3 linked regions of the Drosophila melanogaster genome follow. The protein of the gene in region 1 purifies or fractionates together with the protein of each later gene. This does not show direct contact. Each region holds a gene or a part of one and is shown on either strand. Other genes may lie near its edges.

Region 1 (3,211 bases):
ACAAGGGCGGCATCACACAACTGCGCTATGGAGAGTTTGGCAACGGGGAGTGGCATCTGTTCAGTGGAGCTCGCAAGTGCGATAAGATCTTGCAGTGGGACATGCGCAACTACAAGCAGCCACTGGTGGAGTTGCAGCGCCATGTGGACACCAATCAGCGTATTCAATTCGACCTCGCATCCGACAGCAATTGGCTGGCTAGCGGTGACACACGGGGATTCGTCAATGTTTGGGATCTCAAAAAATACGGAGATCCTTCCGTACTGCCCCTGCATTCAGACTGCTGCAACGGAGTGGCACTCAATCCGGCTATGCCGATTCTAGCCACCAGCTCGGGGCAGTTCCACTTTACAGACCAAAGTGCCCAAGGGGACAACGTGACCTTAAACGGAACGGAAACGACGGAGTTGCCGGCGCCGGCCGATGTGAATCAAAATCAGAAGGAAGTTCTCTACGAGAACGCAGTGGTCATGTGGTGGTGCGGCCAAACGGGATAGCATATAAAACTGGTGTAGTCGAGTAAATAATACAAAATCCGTCTTTATTCTTGAATCCATTTGGAAATACTAAAGCATCATGACCGGGTCCATACTGGTTGCCTTCACCTGCAAAGGATTTGCGAGAGTAAGTTGGCGTCGACTCAATGGCGATGGCTGTTAGGTGGAACACTTACCTAGAACCGTTTGAGGAACTCCTCGGCGCAGGTGCGTGCCCTGGCATTGACCGCCAGTTTCATTTCGCTGATCTCCTTGTCGATCTCCTCCATGAAGCTAATGACAAAGTCCACCAGTTTGTGCTTATACATCTGCTCCGTGTGGAAGTTGGTGATGAGGAAGCTTATGTCGTAGCCCTCGATGGGCTTGCGGCGCAGTATGACGAACGACTCGGCGCGTCGCATCATGAACCTGGTGAACTTGTGGCACAGTATGCGCTCAATCTCGTCGGCCTGCTTCACGGCGATGCTCACGCGCACCGAGTTAATGGACGGCTCGATCAGCACCTTCTCCCGCTCGTTGCGCGACACGACGACGGGCGTGAGCACCAGCTCCTTGCTGGAACAGATCTCCACCTCCGGCTTGTTGTGCCGCTCCACCACCTGCGAGGGGAAGTCCTGCAGGCACATCGCCGCCGTCAGCGAGTGTCGCACGGCGGTCAGGTAGGGCTTCAATGTGGCTGCCATTGTGTCTGGGTGTCGGGTTGTTGTCTGCTGCCTGCGGTTTGTTGTATCTGCACTTTTTACTTAACTTATTATGATTCACAGGCCCTGGAATTTATCAACCAGAAAAGATGTGACCATGCGCGGCTGGCAGGAAAATACCAATGCCGAGGTGGGGCCGCAAAAACATAGCAACTATTTGGAATTTGTTATGAAACAGTTTCTATTATATGTTTGGGAAGACTATGCATAAAGTTTATACAATCAATATTAAACATGTTGTTTTTAAACATTTATCAAATCGCACTTAAAACATTTCTTATGATGTCCTGTGTTAAGATGGTAAGAAACTTGACTATCAAGAACTTACCCGAGACCACAACCACTGTTCCATTTCCATTTGTATCTTATCTTTGTGGAATTTTTAGGAGTGAAACAATTTAAATCATACCTAAATTTTAAAAATTTAAGAAAAATGTATATGGCTAGAAGCGTTAAAATTTGAAATGGAAATATCAAATATATGTGTACCATATTAAAGTCCGAAAACCCAACACACCAGCAAAGAGGAAAAATGTTAATTTAGAAGAAAACAGCATCCACCAATTATAAATATTGCATTTATTTGTTTAATGCACTTTTATTATACAATTGTTATAAGTATTTTTGCTCGCATATGGTCAGTTATTTGTGGCTTATATGAACTTAAATTATGCGTGAACCTAGAAAGTGAGTATTTTAATCAATCGTTCAAAATTGTAACCCTTTCCTACTCTCAATACTCAAAAAATGTTTCGGCTGATTATTGCATTGGATTAGACATTAATATATCATAAATTGAGTAAATATCAAAGCATTTTATGCTTTGCGTTTATATTTTGTTCGTTTTTTCTTGAGTATGCTTGAAAGTTTTCGTGTCTGGGTAATTTGGTGTCCTGTGCGTGTTAAATTGTTTTGCCAATGCACATTTTTATTAAGAGATTTATGTTATTGATATTCATTTGTAGAAGCCATAGGTTTACACGAGTACACATACATATATAACGATATAAGATTTAAATTTAAGCTAATCTTTAAAGCGCCCTTTGGTGCAAAATTAAAAATAACTCGCAGGTTTTTGGAAAAAATTTTCCTAAATATTCCATTTGGTTTGCCCTAAATACTTTTTTTTTTTTTTATTATAACCCCCACATTCACTCTCCTCTTAAACCCATTTCTAAAAATAACCCGACGTTAGACAAAATATGCATTTCCATATAATATTACACACATTAATGTATGCTTATACGTAGTTTCCTTCCATTTATATTAATGTCTATATCAGCGTTTTTAGTGTTTGTGTTGTATGTAAATAAAGGAAAAATGCGTTTCGTGTGTTTTACATGGTATTTGATTTTATTGAATTGTATAAGCATTTCTTATGTATTTTTTCTGTTAGACATTTATTTTATAGATAGAAAATGCGAAACTTATAAGAACAAATTATTTGTTAGTGTAAAACTATATTCAGCATGTATATGTATCATGTTGTTGCAAGTTAGTAAATTAAAATTACCACTAAAGTATACATTAACTTAATTAAAAACATTTTCAAATTTTTACTCGCGAAAGCCATTCATAGATGCAAATACAGCGTGCTTATTATTTTGAGAATACCTCAGTCGATGCCACAGTAATTAAAAAAAAAAAAAAACTTGAACATTCAAGACTAAGACTTTGAAAATAATGAATCCAAAACGAATATAACATTCTTGGAACTCAAGGTAAAAAGTGTTTTAAACTTTCAACTGAAATCAACGTGAACTTTTAAAAGAATTTGAAATTTTAAATGACAGGCATGCATTCAACTTGCATAGGCTTTTCTGCCTGGGCTTTTAAGTTTAAATGTAGATTTCCTTTACTAATTTTTTTTTTGCATTAACTTGCCGTAAGCATTCATTTCTTTTCGCTTTATAGTAGCTTATTCGTGTTTCATTATAGAGCTCGTGAGAAAACTCGCTCAGCGGTATCTTGAGACTTTGCCCTTGCCCTTCGCTTCGTTTGCTTTCATAATAC
Region 2 (7,624 bases), about 14 Mb from region 1:
TAATAAGCTAGAAAATAAAGTGTATTCGAGCGTCTGCAGCTAGCTAGAGATTAAAAGAGTGTCCCTTTTTTTATTTTACATTGCAGTTTGATTTTCTCGTTTTTATTAATTCCGATTGCTGTATCAAAGGTTTGTTAATATTTGCAGTACGTTTTTAAATGCGCTTTCTACACATACAGGCTAATTGCGGGGATGAATCCTCCATTGCGACTATATAACAAGTTGGTGGCATCCCTTAGTCGTGTTGCTCGCTTTGACATGGTAGTTTTAGTTCTCATGTTGCACTTAAGTCTACGTTTATTTGTTTAAAATGCGGCTCAGCTGTGGCGCTGACTCGGCCTATGACTGTAACAAATTGGCGGAGACACGGATTTGACGATGACTCGACACAAACACACACAATTCATTTACTAACGCGTAACTATTAATTCTTTGATCATTATTTTGCTGAGCTTACATTTAGCCTTACGGTTCTGTTTGGAATACTTGGGTTTGTCTTGCAATCTGGTTTAGTTTATGTTGGATTCACCATTCGGATATCGAATTTTAATACACAATTTATTTTTTGTATTTATATAAAAACAACTAAATATACTGAACACATCAATCGATGCGCTTGAAAGTTCTCCCCCTGCAAAAAGAACACGAGTTAGTAATCAGAATTCGTTATGGAAAGTCCAATGCTCACGTTATAGTTTTCTTCTCCGTGTTTTTGGGCTCTGGCCTTGCACGATTTAGCACCTTGAGGAAATCCGAGGTTTTTGCTCGCATGCGCGAATGAATGTAAGCCTTTGAACACTGCTCAAAAATGCATATTTCAAATATATAAAAGATATTTTTGCATAGCTGCATACAACACTTACCTTAATGTGGTAGTGCAAGTAATCTCGGAACATGTGAATTAAGTTAATGGTATTGTCCCTTGTTTCTTTGTTGGTATGCCGAGGGAAGAGTACTGCAAAAAACAAGTATGAGTCGTTACTATTTTGTTTCTTTTGGATATTTCAAAGTGTAACATCGGTTCAATTCTAAGAAGTACTGTACACAAACACAAGTCATCTGCGATAATATGATTGATTATTCAGGATGCCGTTCGTCTACTTATTTAATATTGGAGCATTAGAGACACAAATTGAAGGAAGGTATACAAAATATGCCACTTTAACTCCATTGGGATTACATTAGCTGTGCACTGTGCACCAAAGAAATCATCCAAGGAAATATAAGACTGCTTCGGATGATTCGATCGAATATATTGATTTTGGAGCATTGTAGACACGAAAACGATAATATTGTTAACATGTAAACTTTGTCTCCATTTAAAAAAGGCAGTCTAAGATATTCTTTTACTGTACACAAACACAAGTCATCTGCTATAATATGATTGATTATTCAGGATGCCGATTGTCTATTTATTTAATATTGGAGCTTTAGAGACACAGATTTAGGGTAAGTATTAAAAATATGCCACTTTAACTCCATATGGAATATACTGACATTTTTGTAACGAAAGAAATCATCCAAGGAAATATAAGACTGCTTTGGATAATTGGATCGGATATTGATTTCGGAGCATTGTAGACATAAAAACGATAATACTGTTAAAATGTAAACTTTGTCTCCACTGAACAATTCAGCTTGGGGATTCTGGGTTGGTGTGTTACTGTACACAAACACAAGTCATCTGCTATAATATGATTGATTATTCAGGATGCCGTTCGCATATCTTGTTGATATTGGAGCATTTGAGACACAATTCAAATTGTAATTTAAAACATGCCACTTTGACTCCACAGGTGACTTTAATGCATTATTGTGCGCGGAAGTATTTATCATTGGATATATTTATAAACTAGAATGTTCAAGATGATTTTAACGATACTATTTATATGGAGCCTTGTAGACATGGAAAAGACAAATGCACTTTAACGTGTAAACTTTGGCTCCACAGCACATGGTTTACCATTCAACCTTTAACATACCGAATGTGACATAGCCAATGTTGTCGCCCACCCTAGCGTCCGTGTTGGCCAATTCCAATGGTGGTTCTCGGTGCGAAAAGAGCACTTGTGGTGCGGTGTGCGAGGCACGCCGACCTTCCCTCAATTCCTGCATAAATACTTTGCCGATAATGACATCGTCTTCGTCCCGGAAAATGGTACTAAAGACGACGGTGACACGATCAGGCTTGGCTTCCACATATCTGCAAATCGATTGTAGATTGTCAGCGCTTGGACGAGTCAAAAACATATTTTTCTGACTTACAAAGTCTCATCGTTGCGGTAGTTAATGACGGCACGCTTTTGGCCCTCTTCGCCCTGCTCCTGATAGTCAAAATACTTTTCAAAAACCGATGCGAAACAGTTGCGCTTCAGCAGTCCGATTCTCTTTGCGATTTGCTCGCAGTCCTCGGGAATCTCCTCCAGGTTGATAAGTACGGAAACATTGTAGCCTGCAATTAGACGAGAGTAATTAACTTCTTTAAATGCCGAACTTAAACACGAACGTACCTTCTTCCGTGTCTGTAAGCAGACTGCCATATTCACGCTTCAGCAACTCGTCGGCTCCATGTTCTTGCAGCTGTTTGTAGAACTTCAGCGATATGCTGATCTGTTTCGCAGCCCAAGAAAAGTGAGAAATCGTTAATGTTGGATTTATCCTAAATGAATAGTACGCGGTACACTTACCCGAACTTTTGTTTTATCGCCATTCACATTGGAAATGTGATAAAGGACGCCGTCGAAGTCTGCTATTCGTATGTCTATCGATTCAGGCTTCAGTCTGGAAAGAGAATTAAAAAGTAAATTCTCATTTATTTTCTTGCTTATTAGTCATGCTCCCCACACTCCACCGTATCTTATCACATAAACTCGTTTATACCCGATTATTTTTCCAAAAGAAACCAGCAGCAATAAAATTATATTTTGCGTTTTCGAATAAATTAAAACATCCGTATGTATTTGTATCTGGATCGCTAAGCCGATATCTAAATTTAGTTTAATTCAATTACAAGAACTAAACAAATATTTCTGAATAATGTACACGAACTCAAGTCATCTATTGTGATATGTAGGATCAAACAGGATGCCGTTCGTTTGTATAATTAGTATCGGAGCATTAGAGACACAAATTGGATAAAAGTTCCAAGGCATGCCACTTTGGCTCCTAAATCGTACTTTGCGATCTTAAAGCGATTGTGCGCGAACTCAAGTCATCTGATGTAATATTATTAATTACTCAGGATGCCGTTCGCCAACCAAGTTGATTTGGGAGTGTTTGAGACACAGGCAGGTTTATATATCCCGAGAATGCCACTTTACCTCCACGACATACATATCTATAAATATGTGCACGAATTAAATGCATCCACAGCAAAAATATTGAATGCCAAGGATGATTTAAACGAACATTTGCTCTTGGAGCATTGTAGACACGAAAAAGATCTTATCCTTAGCATGTAAACTTTGTCTCCGAAGACGGGAGTCTTATAAAGGAATGTAAAGCTATCAGGAGCTATTGTAGGCGAACACAAGTCATCTGTTATAATATGCATAATTATTCAGGATGCCGTTCGCCTTTGCATTTGATATTGGAGCATTTGAGACACAAATAAAAATGGATTAAGTGTGCCACTTTGACTCCAATCCATTTTCATATGAACAACGAATGTATTGTGAACGAATGTATTTATCTATGGAAATATAATTATATCCAAGATGATTTAGACGTTCAATTAATATTGGAGCATTGTAGACACGGAAAAGAAAAATACTTTAGCATGTAAACTTTTTCTCCATATGACTATTGAAGCATTTTGAAGTTGTGCACGAACACAAGTCGTCTGTCTTAATATAAGTAATTAAACAGGATGCCGTTCGCTTATAAAATTGATATTGGAGCGATAGAGACACAGATCAAAGGAAAGCTATAAAATATGCCACTTTAACTCCACCCAAATATTTAATTAGTTGTTGTGCAGTTGGCAACCATCTTAGGCAATAAAATAAATCGAATAAGACGATTTAAACGAACAATTTATTTTGGAGCATTGTAGACACGAAAAAGAAGCCACATCATCTTCAACATGTAAACTTTGTCTCCCGAGGCATTATTGGTCTAATAAATCGAATACTATTGTAGTCGAACACAAGTCATCTGCTATAATATGATTGATTATTCAGGATGCCGTTCGTCCTTTCGTTTGATATTGGAGCATTTGAGACACAAGTTACAGGAAGATCGTAAGACGTGCCACTTTGACTCCAGAATATTACAAAAGTTGAACATTTTATGGCAAATGTACACGAACACAAGTCATCTGTTATAATATGATTGATTATTCAGGATGCCGTTCGTCTTTCTAGTTAATGTTGGAGCTTTTGAGACACAGATCAAATATTGTTTTTGAAGAATGCCACTTTGGCTCCAAAGCCTAAAATTTGCAATAATGTACACGAAAGTATTTATCTTAAGAAACAAAAAGAATTACTCAAGATGATTTAAGCGTTACAATTTATATCGGAGCGTTGTAGACACGGAAAATGGAGAATCTTTAGCATGTAAACTTTGTCTCCCAAGAATACAGATAATAGGGGAGTAATATTGAAACTATTAGTTTTTATGTACACGAACACAAGTCATCTGCTATAATATGATTGATTATTCAGGATGCCGTTCGTCCTTTTGGTTTATTTTGGAACATTTGAGACACAACAGGAGATTTTTTCCAAGTATGCCACTTTTGTTCCACAATTTATAACTTTTATTGCCTTAATTTCAGGCATTACACTGCAATCTTATCGGGAATAAACTAATGGCATCATAACTATTAGCATTTAAATACATTTATTTATGTGAGATCTTAATCATTCGCTACCAAACACAAATACCTCTTTCTGCTGATAGTGCTGTTAGTACAATAAGTTATTTTACTAATTTTAATAATTTTGTTAGTCTGTAAGCTTCGTCTAAGCTTCTTCTAAACCGTTTAGCTTAAACATATTTCTTTCGTAACACGACTCCTTTGATAATGTTTCTTCAATAATAATATCCTTTTTCGGGATTAGGAACAAATAAATACTAATATTTTCGATCATCACAAGCGTATGCGTTTGAATGCACGTCAATGGATGAGTCAGTTTTGCAGATTTTCAGCACCGATGATGCGAATAGCGAGTTGTAATGAATTAACTAATACGCTGTCGACGTAAGGGGGCTGCACTGTACTTGGGTACGTGTGTGGGAGGGAGAGAGCTGCAGCGATGAGTGTTCCAAGGCTGGAACTACACCCAAATTTATTCCCGAGGAAAGAGAGAGCTAACGAAATTGATAACAAAGCCGACTGGTGATAACAGAACGGTGGGGAATGCAGCATAGAAATCAAAATGGTGGAATGGAAATTGGGGAAACGGGACTGGAAGGCATTGACTTACCCAGCCTGGGCATTACGGTATTTGACCAGCAGCGTCTCCTCGATAATCCGATTATTGATTTCCAGCAGGATCATGGCGGTTGAAGTTAACTGTTATTTTTAGTGTGCCAATTTCGATGACAAATTATATGACGTTGACTGCCGCTAATGGTGCTGCTGCTCGCTGCTTCTTCTTCTGCCGCTCCCTGCGCTCTTTCTGCGCTCCGTTGAGTGCGAGTAAGACGGTGCGCTGCTCCAACTCACCAATACTGGTGCATGACGGGCGTATTAATGAATCAACAACAAAAAATGGGCGCTGATGTCGGCTTTTTTGGTCCGTCACACACACATGGACGCACTCTCGCCACACACACGGGCGAATTCCAATGCTCACACACACAGTTGCAAGAAAATCCACCTTATCCTCTTTTCGCGCCTCCAATTTCCAATCGCCAGTACTTGCAGCGCGCACGATGCAGTGCAAAATCGGTCTCAGACCGTAATACTTATAAAATTATAACAAAACGTGGATGGAAAACGGGGAGCACGCTGCCGTATTTTCCTTGCTCACAGCGTTGCCAGGTAGCACAATAGAGATGGGGCAAACTCACCGATGGAAAGATTGAAGTATCGAGCTATCGACCATCAATGTTATCAGGTTACACAGAAATTCAAACCAGCAGATTTTAACAAACATAAAGAGAATTTTCTTTAAAATATATAAAATAGAATATATTTTAAACGAAATTCGTACACACGAACTTTAAATTATAAATATGTATTAAGACATTTTAAGACAAACACACAAATATTTTATTTAACATTGTTATAATAACGGTGCTATAAAACTAAGAGGCACATTTTTTTAACAGAATAATCTGGCAGCCCTTTTTGTGCGATGACCCATCGCCTATCGACTATCAATATTTCCCGCCAGGCTGCCGGATCGTTCAGAATAAATAAAAACAAATAATAGCGAAAATCAATGGACGACGATGAGCTGATTAAATTGATAGAGAGACACCCGATCCTGTACGACAAGGACTGCGCGAGGAGCGTGAAGAATGCGGCGCAAAAGGACGCGGCCTGGAAGGCCATCTCCCAGAAGTTAGGAGCCTCGGAACGGGCGTGCATTACGCGCTGGAAGAGCATTCGCGATCGTTTCGGCAAGGAGTTTCGCCGTTTCCAGGAGCGTCCGGATGAGCCCACCTACTGGGACATGTTTCCGCGACTGCTCTTTCTCAAGGATCACTACAAACAGGGACTGGCAAGGAACGAGAGTCTCGACGGGATGCGTTTTGAGCCCAGGGAGCGGAAAAAGCGCACAAAAGTGGACATGGAGCAGGAGAGGCGGAGAAAGGACGAGGAGGAGGAGGACTCCCAGGATGACCTGCTGAACGAGCAGCTCATTGAGCTGGTCAAGTCTCATCCCGTGCTGTATGATCGTCACAAGATCAGAGTCTCCAAGAACCTAGCAGCGAAAAACGAAGCCTGGCGAGAGATTTCTGAAAACCTAAATGTGTCGGGTGAGCTCGGGGTAACCCTCTTGATCTTCAGCCCTTAATGCCGATAATTTTCAATAGAGGAACTTTGCTACAACCGCTGGAAGAAGCTGCGTGATCGTTTCGGGCGGGAGTTCCGCAGTCATCAGATCAACCAGTCCACGCCCATCACGTGGAGGTACTTTAACGACCTTCTCTTTCTGGGCCGCCACTTCCGCAAAGGAGTGCCCCTGGTTTTGGAGAACATCAAGCGACGTGGACGACCACCCAAAGCAGGAAATCCTTCGGGAAAGACCAGCAAACAGCCGGAGGGAATGGTGATCTCCAGTGGTGAGCAAATCTGGGGCGCTGATTACCCCTACAGTACGGACAACGACGATCTGGAGGATGATCTTGAGTTGGCCTACGATGAAGAGATTGAGATACTATCGGAGGCGGAGCAAGCAACGCCGTACGATTTTATCCTCAGCGAAGCGACGGCACGGCAGGACTTGGAGCCACCACAGCAGCTCCAGGTGACCACCACCACGCCGGCCACCAGTGAGGAAATAATTCACACAATCGCCAGGGTAAATCCCGTCGTAGAGGAGTCCTCCTCTCTCCCTGGGGACTCTGTACCGTCTGCCGCCATCTCCGACAAACTGTTGACCACCGTGATTGCCAACATGGAGACCGTGCTTCAGCAATCCCGGGAGCTGCAGGCCCAGATTCA
Region 3 (4,233 bases), on another chromosome or scaffold:
ATTTGTGTCTACGGTGCGGTGGCCTCCATATCCGCTGTGATGTACATGAAATGGAAGATGGAGGATCGGGTGAAATCCGCAGAGTACTACAAACTGGCCTTGAAGGCACTGCGGAGCCATCGAGGAGCAGTTGGTCTCCTGGGTGAACCCATCAAGGACTCTGGCATCGATCTGTCCAACGCCAACAACAATTGCAATGCGGAGGAGGCGCGTTGTGAGGTGGCTGTGCGGGGCAGCAAGGATAAAGGTAGATCCATCGATTTTGAAAGCAAATCTTTGGCGTTTACCAACCTTATATTTGCAGGAACTTTATACTTTTGGGCGTCCAATCAGCCGGATAGAGGCTGGCTGATCGATCGACTGGAGCTGGAAACAAAACTCAACCCAGAGAAACGATTTTTGCTTAAAAAATCCGAGGAACTAACCTTCGATCTGCCCGAGAGTATAACCAAACAAACTGCCCAGCAAGTTGATTCCAATGTCATTCTATCCGCATCGGATCAACAACCAGAAACACATTCAAAGTGAAGACAATCCGAATGTCCGATTCAATTAGTTTATTCTCTTTAAATTTGACTAATTCAAGCAATCTTAAATGTTTTATAGTTATGTTATTTTAATTACAAATTTATTGTTTTTATAAAATCAAAGTCTTTAGTTATTGTTTGTCAATGGAGAGCTGGCAAAAATGATCAGTGGTTTAGCATAGTTATTATTCATGCTCATACTAGGTGGTTGGTTTGTGAACAATCGGGAAAGCGAAAAACTTGAATGAGTGCTCCTAATGATACCACTTAAAATAGTCGAGAGTCGGCTGGTTGGTCTTCAAAGACACGAAGAATTGACTGGCTCATCGAGAGCGCAGATCTCGAGCTTGATTCGTTTAAAATTAGAATAATACATAGGTCAGAGGACATGATAAAATCCGCGTTTAATGCTCTTCTTAAACGATAAAGGCGACAATTGGTGGCGATCGTGACGTAGACGAGGCGGCAGTGCATCGTTCACCGTCAGGCTAAAGTCATCCAAATCCTTGCAATCAAATCGTCTCCGATCGTACTCGATATATGTGTAGTTATGTTTACGCACTTTCGTCGTTGTATAACACAGTATAAATACAGGCCGTATATATATATATAAGTAGGTATATGTTCGTATGTATATAGCCAATTACAGACATTTGCTTTTTCGGCAGGCACCTGCACCTGGCCGCCCTCGTTTCTCGTATTCCTGCTACTTCGTTTCGGATGCTGTGGTGTTAATGCTGGTGATCGGTTCCTATGCTCGCTTGGCCATGGCAAGTGGAAGACTATTGGGCCGCTTTGTCGACTGTGTCCGCTCCTCTTCCGCTTGCACCTCCTGGTCTTATTGCGTCTTCAGTTCCTTGCCAATGCTGTACGAGACGATTTTGCTCCAGTCGATCTTGGTCCTGGTGATGGGCAACTGGCGACGCATTGCCTTGAATGTCGTGTCCGACATCGTCTGATAGTTCTCCGAAATGGCCAGCTGGTACTCATTCTCGGCGTCCTCGATCAGACGGATCACCTCCTTGGCCACCTGCTGCTCGTTGCTGACCACCACGCTTTCGCGGCACTCCTTTGAGGACACCAGCTGGACGTTGCCGTCCTCGTAGTAATGCACCTGCACCTTGAGCACACCCTTCAGTTCGGCGGTTCCGCTGCCCGCCTGGAAGGTCACATGCCACTGGGAGCGCCATCGGCCATTCCAATAGTTCTTCGGCTGGAACTGGTGGTCTTCGATGCAAATGGTCAGGGTGATCTGGTTGCCCTGCGCCTTTCCAAAAACAGAGCTGACCTGTAGAGAAAATGTTACGGGTTATTGTAAGCAATAGAGCGTTTTTCATTCAACTTACCCCGTGTCTATAATGACTGGCAGTGTAGGCGAGCGTCTCCAGGTCGAGGGCCGCCCTCCAGGGCTCCGCAGTGGCATCTGCCTCTACGTCCTGGTAGTCGGAAGCCTCTTTTCGGAGGTGGTCGTATTTGAAGGCTTGCTTTGTGCGCGGGTCGTAGAAGCGACCGTTTCCTGGAATGCAATTGCTTATCAGTGTGGGGCTCAAGATATCGACCGAAAGCCAAACAATGTGTGTAGGTGACTCATATGGCAGGCTTTGTCCATTTAAGGGCATTGATGGAACTGAACTCACCCAGATCGTTGTGTTCCGATATGATGGCGTTATGATCGGTGCCCTCGATGCGAACCGGAGTCAGCTGGTCCTTGTTGTATTGGGCGAAGGCGTGGCTAGCCCCATCCTTTAGCAGAGTGTCATTCTTGAGGAGCTCCCGCACATCGTTGAACACTTCGTTGAACTCGCCGGGCGGCGCATGTAGGATGAAGTCCGATACGATGCGCACCTTCTCCGCATCGGTGATCGGTGTCTGCTCCATAGTTCCACTGGTGATTCACGAAATCGGGGCTGGGCGGTTGTTTGGTTTGGTCTGGTTTCCCCTCCGGTTCCTAGGGTTCTACCTTTCGACGGGATCTTCTTGTGGAGTGGTTGGAAGTTGCGGTGTCGCTGGAACTCTTCCTTGACCGTTTTTTCGGCGCTGCAATCTTTTTTCTCCGCAATTAATGGGCCAAGACGATGACGATTCGATTCACTTTTTTTTCCACTCTTTGCTAGGGATGGGAAATATTTGTGTACCTGTACCGGATGCGATTCACCGTATTTTACGGGCAGTCTACACTGCTCCATAATCCGACGGGTGAATGGCAAAAGTCTTGGCGCGTTACTTGAATTGCAATAAAAAAACTTTTAACGATGTAGAATGTAATACATTATAGAAATAGTTCCTCGAGACCAATAAATATCATTGCCTGTTCAAAACCAAACTCAATCAGAACTTTTTTAAAGCAAATTATGTTATTGTTGTACATGGTAGCTAGTTTTGGTTATTAAATATTTTTCAGTTATATAAGTATTAAAGTATTGATCAACTCGTTTAAAATTAACCTGTTTGTTTGTGAAAAATAGTTGTTAATAATTCTATTTGAAAGCCCAAGCTGGGCCATTTTTATCTTCCAGCTTCCATTTTTAAAGAAATATTTGTTATATTAAATCCAGTGTAATTGATTCACATCAACGTATTTATCGAGAAGTGTAGACAGTATATAGTATCGATAAAACGAAAACATCGAGATTATTAACCGTTAATTATCGATGACCGAGGAATCGACGGTGTCTCACATCTCTAACGCCGCCCGTTGTTTTTGTTGCATTGTGTTTTTGCTTTTGAATTGAGCGGTTGTCTCGCGCGTCGATCGCAGTTTCAAAATCGGTGTGGCTCCGCAGCTTCGTTGTAAGTCGACAATAAAAGCGATCGAAGTGAAAGAAAATACGTTTTGCGATCTTTTTATTTAAAATAATTCGCCAGAAAGTACAAGTTCACAACGAAATACCATCGAAAAGTGCCTTTTTACCAAAAGTCGTTGGTAACACACATACCAACGCAGCGAACCGAACCACACGCACACAAATGCGCGCGCTTGGCGGTGTGCGTGTAACCACTTTTTTACCTGGTCTTACCTGTTTGCGGTGCGAAAGAGAGGAGGCAACAGAAACGGAGAAAGAGAGTGCCCAAGCGGACGAGTGAAAGATAAAAGTGAACGAAAATATCAGCCAGAGCAGCTGCACCGAAATCGGAATAAGTCAGTTAACAATCAGGGCGCGCACTGTACGAGTTCGATTCGATTGATAATTATTGAGCGGTTGCCATGAAAATGCAGTCCAAACAAACGGTACACTGAGAGAAACGAAACAAGAAGAAGAGTGCAAATAGAATAGAATAAAAAAGAAGTGGAAGTAGAAGTGGGCAACACAAACAAAAGTAAAAGGTGTGTGAGTGAAATAATACTGGGTGATTCACGAAGAAGTGCTCAAAAGTGTTGCGGTTGAAAAAAAGAGAGTCTGCGATGGCGGATCGCCGCTAGAGAGTATGTCCACCAGTGTCCAGCGAATGTCCAGAAGCTACCACTGCATCAATATGTCGGCGACCCCGCAGGCCGGCCACCTAAATCCCGCCCAGCAACAGACGCACCAGCAGCACAAGCGAAAATGCCGCGACCTTGGCAGGCGACTAATCCCCGCGAGACTCCTCCTGGGCGTTATCGTGGCCATCAGCCTTCTGTCACCCGCCCTCGCACTTCACTCGCCGCCGGACAAAAACTTTTCCGGCGACAATCGTAAGCCCGCCTTCAAAAACTGCGCCGGATACG

The links.
Region 2: the proteins of Arpc4 (region 1) and Arpc2 purify together in Drosophila melanogaster (affinity purification with mass spectrometry, with the first as the bait; one large-scale study listed by BioGRID). This does not show direct contact.
Region 3: the proteins of Arpc4 (region 1) and cpa purify together in Drosophila melanogaster (affinity purification with mass spectrometry, with the first as the bait; one large-scale study listed by BioGRID). This does not show direct contact.

What each region holds. Positions count from the first base shown.
Region 1 is NT_033779.5:6,123,218-6,126,428, reverse strand, and holds Arpc4 (Actin-related protein 2/3 complex, subunit 4), read right to left. Parts: upstream 1,298-3,211; 5' UTR 1,181-1,297; coding exon 674-1,180; intron 606-673; 3' UTR 518-605; downstream 1-517. Other genes in the region: WDR79 (WD repeat domain 79), read left to right, coding at 1-497.
Region 2 is NT_033779.5:20,415,476-20,423,099, reverse strand, and holds Arpc2 (Actin-related protein 2/3 complex, subunit 2), read right to left. Parts: upstream 6,044-7,624; 5' UTR 5,507-6,043; coding exon 5,433-5,506; intron 4,753-5,432; exon of another isoform or gene 4,619-4,752; intron 4,578-4,618; exon of another isoform or gene 4,446-4,577; intron 4,431-4,445; exon of another isoform or gene 4,296-4,430; intron 4,267-4,295; exon of another isoform or gene 4,133-4,266; intron 4,104-4,132; exon of another isoform or gene 3,967-4,103; intron 3,956-3,966; exon of another isoform or gene 3,819-3,955; intron 3,798-3,818; exon of another isoform or gene 3,670-3,797; intron 3,645-3,669; exon of another isoform or gene 3,515-3,644; intron 3,475-3,514; exon of another isoform or gene 3,344-3,474; intron 3,327-3,343; exon of another isoform or gene 3,192-3,326; intron 3,169-3,191; exon of another isoform or gene 3,035-3,168; intron 2,782-3,034; coding exon 2,688-2,781; intron 2,611-2,687; coding exon 2,511-2,610; intron 2,453-2,510; coding exon 2,266-2,452; intron 2,204-2,265; coding exon 1,983-2,203; intron 1,950-1,982; exon of another isoform or gene 1,826-1,949; intron 1,797-1,825; exon of another isoform or gene 1,662-1,796; intron 1,626-1,661; exon of another isoform or gene 1,500-1,625; intron 1,484-1,499; and 13 more. Other genes in the region: CG10949 (uncharacterized protein), read left to right, coding at 6,396-6,936, 6,994-7,624. UniProt on the Drosophila melanogaster protein: Functions as actin-binding component of the Arp2/3 complex which is involved in regulation of actin polymerization and together with an activating nucleation-promoting factor (NPF) mediates the formation of branched actin networks.
Region 3 is NT_033778.4:21,056,194-21,060,426, reverse strand, and holds cpa (capping protein alpha), read right to left. Parts: upstream 2,641-4,233; 5' UTR 2,406-2,640; coding exon 2,165-2,405; intron 2,044-2,164; coding exon 1,874-2,043; intron 1,816-1,873; coding exon 1,366-1,815; 3' UTR 544-1,365; downstream 1-543. Other genes in the region: CG15653 (uncharacterized protein), read left to right, coding at 1-247, 305-528; shg (shotgun), read left to right, coding at 3,954-4,233. UniProt on the Drosophila melanogaster protein: F-actin-capping proteins bind in a Ca(2+)-independent manner to the fast growing ends of actin filaments (barbed end) thereby blocking the exchange of subunits at these ends.